Linked DNA regions of Mus musculus: all the other regions are reported to be linked to region 2. The links are microRNA targets in miRTarBase. Many come from high-throughput screens and were not tested one by one. Region 2 holds a microRNA gene; each other region holds the end of a gene's coding sequence.
What was found. The annotated mature microRNA mmu-miR-758-3p reads UUUGUGACCUGGUCCACUA and lies in region 2 at 1,295-1,313, opposite strand. An mRNA with a match to its seed (bases 2 to 7 or 8) in the 3' UTR can be bound and repressed. Matches are read on the target gene's strand: a 7mer-m8 pairs with bases 2 to 8, a 7mer-A1 pairs with bases 2 to 7 and ends in A, and an 8mer does both.

Region 1: the mRNA of Crlf2 is a reported target of mmu-miR-758-3p. Seed matches in the 3' UTR shown: 7mer-A1 at 631-637 and 8mer at 665-672.
Region 3: the mRNA of Ugt8a is a reported target of mmu-miR-758-3p. Seed matches in the 3' UTR shown: 7mer-m8 at 1,836-1,842.

What each region holds. Positions count from the first base shown.
Region 1 is chr5:109,551,354-109,555,410 of GRCm38, reverse strand. Crlf2 (cytokine receptor-like factor 2) reads left to right here. Exons shown (of 8, transcript NM_016715.4): 7 at 54-138; 8 at 341-702. The coding sequence ends at 565. It overlaps Gm8493 (a long non-coding RNA gene), which reads left to right and starts at 1,425. Exons shown (of 6, transcript XR_880564.2): 1 at 1,425-1,852; 2 at 2,232-2,347; 3 at 2,718-2,786; 4 at 3,037-3,948.
Region 2 is chr12:109,710,106-109,714,170 of GRCm38, reverse strand. Mir758 (microRNA 758) reads right to left here and starts at 1,361; the gene lies at 1,281-1,361. Mir411 (microRNA 411) reads right to left here and starts at 3,996; the gene lies at 3,915-3,996. Mir299a (microRNA 299a) reads right to left here and starts at 3,533; the gene lies at 3,471-3,533. It overlaps Mir299b (microRNA 299b), which reads left to right and starts at 3,478; the gene lies at 3,478-3,526. It also overlaps Mir380, Mir1197, Mir323 and Mir329.
Region 3 is chr3:125,863,905-125,867,961 of GRCm38, reverse strand. Ugt8a (UDP galactosyltransferase 8A) reads left to right here. Exons shown (of 6, transcript NM_011674.5): 6 at 383-2,690. The coding sequence ends at 746. Among named protein-coding and RNA genes, the nearest start is that of Gm40145, 33 kb to the left of the region's middle.

The DNA.
Region 1 (4,057 bases), not on the chromosome of region 2:
GGGCATGGCATGGGGGTGTCAGGTGAACCCTGACCCCTGACCCTGAACCCCAGGGTGAAAGATGCGCTGCTGCCCTGCGTCCCTGACCCCAGCGGCTCCTTCCCTGGACTCTTTGAGAAGCATCACGGGAACTTCCAGGTGCGCGGGGGGGGGGGGGGGGTCAGGATCGCTGTGGGGGGTCACTTCCTGTCCCCGGAGAGTGAGGGCATGAGGCAGGGGGATGATGGGAGTGACAGGCGTCACGGGCCACTGCCTGACTCCAGGCACCGCTCCCCTCCCCCTCCCCCCACCCCCTTCCCTCCACCCCCCCCCTCCACACACACAACCCCTTTCGCTGCAGGCCTGGATTGCGGACGCCCAGGCCACAGCCCCGCCAGCCAGGACCGAGGAGGAAGATGACCTCATCCACACCAAGGCTAAGAGGGTGGAGCCCGAGGACGGCACCTCCCTCTGCACCGTGCCAAGGCCACCCAGCTTCGAGCCAAGGGGGCCGGGAGGCGGGGCCATGGTGTCAGTGGGCGGGGCCACGTTCATGGTGGGCGACAGCGGCTACATGACCCTGTGACCTTGAAGTCACTGCCAGTCTATACTTCAGGCTGAGGTCACTTCCTGTCTTTAAATAATTCAAACTCACAAATCCTGTGCCTGTCTGTATGCAAATGTGGTCACAAATATTCAAATAAAATGCAAATGCTATGCTAATGCGGCCAGCCATCATTAATTCCTGACCAGAAAGGGCGGGGCTTGAGGAGCATCCCAGCGTCTAGTGGGGGTAACATCAGGGTGACATCATCTCCCCATCCATCTGGGCGGGGCAATGAGCAAATGTACCTCAAGAATTCGCAGGTATGTAAACGAGTTTCATGAATATGCTGTCCTGGTGGCCCTGAGGGAGAGAAAGGGTAAGAACCAAGGGAGGACAGAACTGCGGGTGGTGAGTACCACCTCGCCCAGGCCCCGCCCTGGGATCTAGGCCCCACCCACACATGCTGGCAACTCCCCTGTGACTGTAAGTGATGTCACTTCCTGTCTTTTCCTCTGTGTTCTCTGCTTCCTGTGCTCTCTGCAGGCCCCGCCCAACTCACCCAGGCCCTGCCCTGATGCCCGGGCCACACCCCATAGTCTGGTGGTGTCCTTGTCTGACAGTGACGGACCTTTCCCTGACATCACTTCCTGTCCCTGCCCCTGTGTCCGCCCACCCTGCCCGTGACCCCACCCCCTGAACACTGACCCCCTCCCCCCGACCACGGACCCCTCCCAACCCAGCAGGACATGGTGAACTCGCACCGGGGCCTGGCCTTCCTGAAAGCAGCAAAGGAGTTCCACTAGCGTTACATCACCACTGTGAGTGGACACGCCCCGATACGCCCCCAACCACGGGACATGCCCAGACCCCGAGATCCCCCCCCCCCCCCCCCCCCCGCTCACAGCCCTGAGATTTCCGCCCATAATCCAAGGCCACAAACACCTGGCGTTCAGCCACACCCACACAGTCCCAGGCCAAACCTCAGGTGCTCTGTGAATCTCTTGACTGCCCTGACCATGCCCCTGACTCTACTCATAGCTGTTAGGTTCACTATGAATCCCTCTGACCCTGCCCAGACTCCGCCCATAGCCCTTGGCCCCGCCCATAAAGACTTTACCTGATTCCTGCCTTGGCCCCGCCCTAGCCCTGCCCAATTCCCCACAGCCCCGCCCCTAGTGCCAGGCCACACTCATAGCCATGGCTCCACCTCCGACCCTGTGACCCCGGCTCCTCCCCCATGTGACTCAGAGGATCTTCTACACAGTGAACCAGTCATGGTCTGGGATGATCTTGCGGGAGGAGCTGAGGCACAGCTGCTTCCTGCAGGTGTGGGCGGGGCCCGGGATGTGGGCAAGCTTGTTCTTCTGGACTTCTTGTGGGAGAGGTTTTCTGTCTTTGGACAGGACCTCCCAGGGATGGGCAGGGCCTGGTTGTGGGCGTGTCCAACATAGGAAGTGGTCGTTCATGAGTCCTTGTCCATTAGCCAGGCAGTAGGCAGTCTTAGGGTATGGGCGTATCTTGGGGTATGGGTGTGTCAAGGACAGGAAGTGGGTGTGTCCTACAAGGGAGTAGCTGCAACAGGAAGTGACCACAATTAGGTAGGCGTGACTTAGCGCAGATGTGGGCGTGCCCCACACCAGAAGTGCTCCACTGGACACCCCTGGGTCGGTGGGCGTGTCCTGAACCTGGTCCTTGTCCCCTGCAGGCCAGCCAGACATCAACCGCATAACATTCGTTCTTGTTCTTCTCCTGTGAGCATTTCTATGTCATCTACTGCAAGTTCTGGGAGCTCGACCTGGACGGCGACCTCGCCATAGACTGGTGAGACCTCGAGCGCTACGGGGACTGGGGACTGGGGTGAATGGTGGGGGCAGGGTCAGGGGTGGGACTCAGGGTAAAGGGCGGGGGTTCGAGATTGGGGTCTCGAGACAGGAGGCAGGGTCAGAGGGCGGGTTGAGGAGGCAGGGACAGCGACCACCACTTCATGATTGGCATGTGGGTGGGGCTTCATGTGGGCGGGGGCCAGGGGCGGGGCCTGGGAGGTCGACCTTGGCCACAAACTGGTGATTGGACCTCGTGATTGGCAGGCACACCAAGGGGGAGGTGGTTGTGGCCTGACGTGTGGAGTGGGCGTGGCCTCCGCCTCAATGGGCGTGGTCTCCATCACCCTGACCCCGCCCTGCCCTTGCAGCCATCTCTTCCTGGATGATAGACTGCGTCTTCTCTCTCCGGTGCTGTCACCCAGTGAGCAGCCTGGGAGGTGAGCGGGGGTCTGGGGAGGACGTGACTTCTGTCCCCTCCCACCACTGACTCCAATTCCTGTGGTGTCATCACTGCCCCCACTTCCTGTCTGATGTCATCACTTCCTGTATGACCCCGTCCATTTCCTTATGACGTCATCTGCAGGCCCCTCCCACCCCTGACCCCCACTCCCTGTGACGTCATCACCACCCCTACACCCTGTCCAACCTGGCCACTTCCTTGTGACAATCCGCCCCCTGACCCCACAGGGCGCAGCCCCTGTGCAGTGCCAGGAAGCTGGGCTATGCTGAACTCATGTGGTGCCTGCTCTCAGAGGAGGACAAGATCACGTGAGGGGCGGTGCCCCAGTCAGCCATGCCTCCTGCTTGCTCCTTACCTCGCTTCTCTGTGGTCACGCCCACCAACTCTGGCTTCACCCTGACATGGCCACGCCTATAGGATGCTCTGTCTCCGCCCCCCCCCCCCCCCCCCCCGCTTGATCCTGGCTGACTGACCCCAACCACCGATGCTATGACCCCCACCTCATGAACTCTGACCCTGATCTCATGACCCCGCCACCGTGACCCTGCTGACCTCTGACCCCTGATCCTGCCCACAGACACCATGATCTCTGACCCTTACCCCTTGCCTCCACTCCTTGACTGTGACCCCGCCCATTGACCCGCCCCCGTGACCTCTGACCCCCCAACCCCACCCACCCCCGCAGCACTGAGTACTGGTTCCGCTGCGTGGTGGTCGAGCTCGAGTTCTATGAGGAGCAGGCCTGGCACATGGCCCCCCAAGGCATGGAGCTCCTCCTTTTCTGCCACCTCACGCACCAGGTGCTCGACCTCTTCGCCCCGAGCCCAGTGAGCAGACGGCTAGGATCCCGGCCACGGGCAACCTCTGACCCTGTGGGGGACTCCTGACCCCTAGGGTTAGCCTGTAAATTCCAGGGTGACCTCTGACACTACCTCCCCATTGTAAGCTCAGGTTGCTTTGTGGGTGACCCCTGACCCCAGGTGACAACACGGGCGACCCCGTGTGTGACCCCAGTTTGACCCCTTACACCAGGTGTCGTCACGGGTGACCCCAGCAGGGGCGCCCTGTGCGTGACCCTTGTGACCCCTGACCCCTAGGTCGGATCACGCTTTGTGGCCTGAAGCGCTTGAGCCTGGCAGGTGAGTTCTTTGATGCCTTTTTCAGCATGGACAAGTACCCCGCACAGGAGCAGTGCAAGCAGGCACAAACCCCGCGGGTGGGTGTGGCTGAGGGGGCGGGGCATGTGGT
Region 2 (4,065 bases):
TGATTAAAAGCCCATCACCGTGCCTCCAAAGCATGCTGGACATGTGTGGGGGTGGCTGTGTCTAACCTGTTAGAAGCAAAGTGGGTGCAACCTACCTGTGATGACCTGGGGTAGAGTTGCCTCGGTGGCTGCCATCTTCCCCAACTTTGGAACACCATATTGGTTGAGAAGTCCTCCTGAGAATGGACAAGATACTGAAGGTTAGAAGCACAGGCAACAGAAATCTGATGTATGGGATGGGTTTTGTCCGTCACTCACTTGTTCATAACTATTAGTGTGTCCTCAGCTGAGGCTGAGGTATGGACCAGAAGGCCTCCATAGTTTGTTCTGATGGGAAGAGAGGTTGACCAAATGTGTTTCAAACACAGAAACCCCTCTTCCACATCCTCAGTTAACAATAACAATGACACCTTCCCAAACTGGACCTTCAGACCTGGCAGGCCTGGGAGGGTTTAGAGGACAAAGGACACCATTCAGAACGATAATCCACTCGCTGGCTTTGTGGAGAACCAGTTATTCCTGTCCCCTGGCTGGATGCTGACAGGACCATCCTTCCCTGAGACTGGGATCTGGACCACGAAGCCTCCAAGATGGGATTTGATACTGAAAAAAAGGTTAGCTGGGTGTGTTTCATTCTCATCAAAGAAACAGAGACCCAGAAAACCTCTCTTCCGGTACCAGAAGCGAACACTGACAAGACTACCTCGGTAATTCCCCAACGTGACCTTCAGACCTGGCAGGCCTGTTGAATGCAGGGTTGCACACTGGATGTTAGTCAAAGTGCTCAAGCAAGCCATTAGTTGATATATATCTGACAGCCATCCCATCACATGCCCCAGTACAGCAGACCTCCATGGCATGATCCTGAAGTTATGTCACAACCAGAGAGCAGTGGCGCAGTAGAGACTGGCTATAGGACTTACCACCATTTTGGGTAACCACAGAAAGGCACAGATGCCCCCAAACCAAAGATGATTCCTCCCACAGATTTAGCATGCAAGTGTGCTAAGGTGACCTGCGACCTGTGCCATATATAAATGGCATACACACACCCTGGTCATGTCTGACAACATGGTACGTTTCTTGAACTTGGATGGCCCCATATCAAGGAAGGGATCCAAGTATAGGACAGCATTGGAAGCCCATCCAATACTACCATAACAGGCACATATGTTGCAAGTACTGAGGATGCTGTCTCCAAGTCTAACAGCGTACAGCTGGCTTATTGCCTCTGTCCCCAAAAGTTGAGATCTCTTCCAGGAAGTTCTCCAAGGGAAGGTTAGATACTGAGGGTTAGTGGACCAGGTCACAAACGGCACAAATATAGCGTGTGCTCTCTGGTCAACCACCTCACGCACCCACACGTGTATCACATGTCGATGCCACTTTCCTGGTCTGCAAGTCACCCTGCCCACGAAGCTGCCAAGCCAGAGAAATTTGCTGAGAAGAAGGCTGCCACACAAGAGTTATTGTCAGACACAAGAAAAGACAAACCCGCTGGCTGGGTTGCGCTAGCACACACATTTAGTGTCCCCACCCCACAGCTGGTGTTAGCTCCAGGAAAGCTCGCAAGGCGGGATTAGATACCGCAAAGAGGTCGACCGTGTAATGTGCGCCATAAATGAAGCGAACGCGCCACGGACCACCTCTCTCCAAGTACCAAGCAGCAGCAGTAGGAAGACCGGGACACTGGCTCTTCCTCAAAGCAGATGTCACCTCCTGGAAGTCTTCCAAGGCGAGATGTGATATTGAGAAGAAGTAGACCATGTGTCCTACGTCATAAATAAAGCGTACACACCATGGTCAACCGCATCTTCAAATACCTTGAGGTAACGCTGGCTGATTCCAGCTCACTTTACTTAATTTGGTGTTACCTCCAAAATGCCTTCTCAATGAGTGTCACAAACTACCAGCAATCGGCATGTGTGGCAATGGCCACAAACTCATGTTTAATGCCACTATGACTTCCAGGATGCCCTGTAAGGCTGGGCTGGGTGCCAAATATTGGCTTTGGATCAAATGGCCAGAGTCGTAGGTAATGAACATGGCCTGTAGCCAAGCACTGGGTAATCTGTGTTGGATAGGGTCTGCCGCCTGAGCCCTACTCTCAATTGGTATGGCTTTCAGAAAGCCCCTGGTGACCGGCTGATGCAGAGATGTGGTGGACCATGCTGTACATGCTGGAATTAACGCACACACTCGACAGTCTACCATCTCCCCAAGTACTGTGCTGAAGCCAGGACAGGATATCTCCCATGAAGTTGGCTCGGTCTCTGGAAAACCCTCACGAATGACTTTGATAACGAGAAGATGTGGACCATACTACATACGACACAGAAGTAGCGCATGTTCTATGGTCAACCATCTTTTCAGGTACCATGGAGAGAGGGTGGTGCAGGAGCTGGCTTCTTTCCTCATGATTATCACTTCCAGGAAACCCTAGATGCAATGTTGAAAAGAGACCACCATGCATTGCCTGCTGCAGATGCAGAGAATATAGCAAAGAGAAGTTTGCAAGGACGCGAAGAGAAGACCCCGTAACTAGCACTGTGCCTTTAAGGAAATATTGTTCACAGGAAGCCCCCAAGGCGCATTCACTATTATGGGAAGGTGGACCAAATTAACATGCGCTGTAAGTAAAGCAAGAAGCATGGACAACCTCTACCCCAAGGCATTTGTCCTTCTGCCTTGCCCCCCCACCCCCAAGGTTAATGGGGCCTCTTTGGAAACCTTCAAAGCTGAAGTTGATATTGAAAAGAGTAGGCCAGGTTACAAATGGTGTTAATAATACACATGCAGTTTGCTTGATCCCTCTTCAGGTACCGTGAGGTCATTGCTGATGCAAGAACCAGAGCCCTGTCTCTGAGGCTAGCAGCATCTTCAGCAAGTTCTCCAAGGCTGGGCTGGAGGTAAGAAGAAGTGAGCCAAGAAGCAACTTTGATCTGTAAGCATACATGGAGGAGCCAGGCTGGGTCATCTTCCTCTAGAAGGCTAGACTTGATATGGAAAAAAAGATACTATATACGAAGCATCAGTGGAAACAGGGACTGTGTCTTCATGCATCTGTCTTTGCACTGTATCATGTAGCCCTAGCTGTCCTTCTATGGGCATAATGTCTTGAAGGCATCTGATGATAGCTTTGCAGATGATGAAAACACGCAGCATCCCTTGATGATGAGCATCTGTGGAGCTAATTGCCACTTTTTCAAGTCCTAAGGAGGGAGGGAGCATGCCCAGTTGGGATGTAGGACACCTTCCTGGAGGTTGTCATCATCCTTGAAGAAGCCCTTAAGGGCTGCACTGAAGCTGACAGGAACACCTTGCCACATGAATTAACAGAGAAAGCACACAAAAAGCAGAGGGATGTTTGGCCAAGCAGCCCGATGTAGAGAGCAAGCCAAAACAACGTTTCTTCTCTCACTTCAGGCTTGCTCGAGGATGGTATGGACTGGATGGCTGGGCTGGATACCAAGAAGCGGTTTACCGTCCCACATACATACTCAAAATGTATGTGGGACGGTAAACCATTTCTTCAAGTACCGCGTGACAGCAAGGACAGCTGTAAGAAGGTTCATGTCTGCCAGGTTGCCTCAGGACACCTCTTCAGGGATGGTGTTGAGAAGAAGCAGGTCATGGAGTCTACTAACCAAGAGTCGCCTAGACACCCCTGTCACTGAGGTCACGAAGAGCACTGATCCCAGAAAGCTTTGTGGTCTCCTCCCCAGAGATGGCAAGAGTTCCCAAGGCAGAGCTCAGCAGAGGAAGGGGGAGATTATGTCATTTCCCATCATGCAGGAAAGAACACACGCCATATTGAAAACCATCTCTTCCAGCATCATGGAGAAGCCCTGATGATGAGTCTACTGGCGTCTCCCCGAAGACAGCATCTTCTCCAGGGGCCTCGGGGATGGATTTGATACTGAGGGTTAGTGGACCGTGTTACATACGTCACAGATAAAGCGTACGCTATACGGTCTACTATCTCTCCAAGTACCACACAGAGACGCCGAGGACAAAGGCTGAGGGCACGTCCAGGAAGCCCTCTGGGCCATTGAGCTGGTGGAA
Region 3 (4,057 bases), not on the chromosome of region 2:
ACTGGTGGGAAAATTTCCCTGCTTTTCTCTATCCTTTTTGTAGAATTTTAAAATGCCCCTTTTCTGAAGAGACACTTTGTTTAACATCGTTTAGAAGCATCTGGTGGGGAGAGTATATAATGTGGTGTGGAAAGAGTTTGGGTCAGAAAATATAAATCTGCCTCCCATCTGGGGAAAGATTTCATGTTGCTAGGTTTGCTTGTTCTCACCAGGTTGAACTATATGGAGATGTTGTAAGTATTTAAAGCATTTAACCCAGTGCTTGGAGCACCCTTACATGCTTAAAGAGGAATATCAGTCATTTATCATATTTCTAAATTGAGATATCTATCAGTACAGAACCTGTGTATGCATGATCATATCATGTTTGTCTCCACTGCAGTTATCGGCAGAGGGCTCAGAAGTTATCGGAAATTCACAAGGATCAACCCGGCCACCCTGTCAATCGGACTACCTATTGGATAGACTACATTCTTCGCCATGACGGAGCCCGTCACCTCCGTTCTGCTGTCCATCAGATCTCTTTCTGCCAGTATTTCCTACTGGATATTGCCTTTGTGCTTCTGCTTGGTGCTGTCTTGCTCTACTTCATATTGTCCTATGTGACAAAATTTATCTATAGAAAAATCAAAAGTCTATGGTCTAAAAATGAGCATAGCACAGTTAATGGACATTACCAAAATGGAATCCGCAATGGCAAATACAAAGGCAATGGTCGTGTTAAACACGAAAAGAAGGTGAGATGATCCGACAGCCCAGGTGAAGGGGCCAAGTCTGTAGTGCTATTCTTTAGTCTAACAGCTACTAAAAGTAAATGTCAGCAAACAGTCCTAACATGCCCTCATCAGATCTTATTAATGAGATTCCATGGATAAAATGTCTGTAAAGAGCACAACCCTAAATGCAAAAATGTATTTTATTCTAATACTGATGCAGAGAGTTGGCAGTGAACCATTTAGAAGCCTTAATTATTTAAATCAATTAAGTGACGTGTCAGACCTTAGTTTTAAATGTTATGTATGTGTTACAGGTGAGGGATGGTGTTTTTCTCTTGATAAGATGTGTGTATGTTTCCTACGTCATTGAGTTTTAGCTTCTATTTGTATTTAGTTTGTAACAGTATTTCAAAAACTGTTTCCTAAACTCGGTGTAAAGTGGCAAGTGAAAAGATGGGTGGCACAATTTTTGTATTTTTGTTTATTATAGACATTTTTATTTTATTTTTATTTTTTGTAAATGCTTTTTTCTTACCAACTATAGACACTTGTGAAGGAAAACATGCAATGAAGTAAATGAGTGAAAAGGTTTTCACATTTTGCTAATATTTTTCTCCTACCAATGATTTTTCTCTGGAAGAATTTTCTAATTAGGACAGAGCAACAAAGCTCTTACTTTTGTTCAAAGTACTGAAGATTATTGCTTAAATAGCACTTGGAAGCAGAGCCATGTGTAAATGCTTATTTGACTTAGATATTCCAGAATTTGAGTTTTGAGTATTCAGGTATCACTTCTAAAGTTTTAACTTTAGAATAATCACCTTTCATTCCTTTTATTATCTGGGCCACAATATAGTATATAGTATATAGGTGCCAACGTATCCTTCTTCCAAACAGAACATTTGCAGTTCTCCTTGCTGCCTGCTTTAGCTGCAGGAGTTTGAGGTTTGTCAGCAAATAAGACTTTACCTGCTACACAGAAATGACAGAAATTGTACCACCCATTTGTGCAAATGAGTTTCCATTCCCTCCTCACTACATCAGCCCAACTCAGTAGCCTTTTTTGTCATTGTGCTTGACATGGGACAATGACAGTATCTGTTTGGAACATGGAGACAAGTCACAACTTTCATAAATTCAGGACCTCCATGTTGAACCACTTACTAAATGGCACTGTAAGCTTATTCTATGTCACTCTGTTTACTGAGCATTTGCACTGCACATGCTCTGTGTGTGCATTATTTATTTGTGGTTGGAAATCCCATATTTGACACTTGAGAGTAGAGAAATGAAATATTTACTTAATGTCACTCACTAACATGGCAGAGTTGTGAAAAATCTAGAATGCTGTAAATCCTTGTCATACACTGTGACATACAACTTTGTGACACTCCCACCAGGAGCCAGTCTCATATACTTAGATTTAATATCAATAGTTTTTTAATGCACAATGCATACAGCGTACTGCTTTCTGAATACTTGAAATGGTATCTATACAAACCTGTTAGTTACACCTTTTCACAATCTTATCACAACATTGCCATTCAAAGAGGAAAATGATCAGGCAATGAATGGTGGGTGGTAACAGAGCATAGAGTGTATGAATGAGTTGATTTTACTTTTGGCATTTGGTAAAGTTGACAATAGACACTAACTGGATGATTAAGCATAAGTTAATTTCCACTGTGGTTTAAAAAAAAAAGAAACTTAAAACAATAAACAAAGTTGAAAATAGAGAAATGTTGTTGGAATAAAATTTTTATTCAGATTTTATTTCACAGTATTATATAAAGGTATATTTACATTATAAACATGTTTCTAAGGCCTCCCAACTTTTGTATGTATATATGAATGTGAAAACAATGTATTAAATGTGAGAACATATTTAATAAAAATTAAATGCAGGGATTTATCCTTTAAAGTACATCAACACGGATCTTTAAGTTCTATCCCAGAATTAAGAATGTTAAGTACAACTCCTCTCATTGTTTGTTTGTTTTGTTTTGTTTTGTTTTGTTTTGTTTAGCATTTTGTTGTTCTTCTCTATCATCCCCTGCCCTGGACTCCCAGGAAGCTTACTAGCCTGTTATAGTAAATAGGATGATTTAACATTTTCTATACTTGGGCTAAATTCTCTAAGGAAGTAAGGTTTTCAAGAAGGCATTTATTCATTTACTTTTCAGAAAGAGTCTCTGCAGCAGCAAGTGCTTCCATGGCTACTTTATCACATGAAAACTGGGATGTTTTTCCTTCTAAATTGGTAATATGTAATATCTCATTAATAGCATAAGACAAGAATTTTGATAAGATTTGGTAAATCTTTGGAAAGCGCTTGTATTCGTTGCAAGTAGTACTATATTATTGAACTTGAAGAAAAGTAGATATTTTCCTCAAATCTCAGACTTTTACTAAAGCCTAAATTACCACTGTTCATACTGGGGCCTTGGGTTGATCCCCAGACTATCTCATCCCCCATGACTCACCAAAGAAGAAACGAAGGAAGTTGCAAAGTATCGTCAAGTACTAATTTAGTGATCTGTTTTATCGAAAGTATAGCCAATTAATTTCTTTGCTGTAGTAATTAAATAAGTTCATAGATGTCACATTTAACAATGTTTATTACTATCAATAATAATATGAAGGGGAACACTCAAAATCTTACAAGTTGTAATGGGGAAATTATAGGAAATCTGTTGTTAAAAATCTCCTCAATATAAGCCTTAAAGCATTTCTTGTTCTGCTTGCAAGACTAGTTTACCCAGCTTTTAAAGAAGTATACTTACTATCTATAGATATGCTCTTTGTATTTTTGGCAGACTTAGATATTTTTTCCTGACACATTATAGTAAGAAGTTCTTGGAGTTCACACAGGTAAACCATCTACATGGTTATCTAGCTGAAAACTCTCCAAACTAGTAGGTTTCCAGCTACTGGGGGTGTTTGTGGGATGGACTTACGGATGTTAGCAGTAGGAGGTAGCACAAATCTGTAGGTATGGAAACAAAAAGTCACATGATAGTGTTATCATATCATTGGGGTCATTCAGATGGATTTTAAAGAAAGAATTCACATTATAGTCTGCAAATTTTTTGAAAATATACTCTATAAGACAAGAGTTCTTAATTAGAGTATAATCCAAGTTTTGACTGATGAATCACAGCCACATGCAAAATTATACTATGAGACCTAGAAAGGGGAAAACTTTTGATATGTAAATAAGGAAAATATCTAATTTTTTAAAAATGTAAGTTAATGGAAATAAGTCCAATACCAACATTAGCCTTATGGATTTACAATACGTCTGATAGGACAGAGAAATTTCATGTATGGAAATTGTTTAA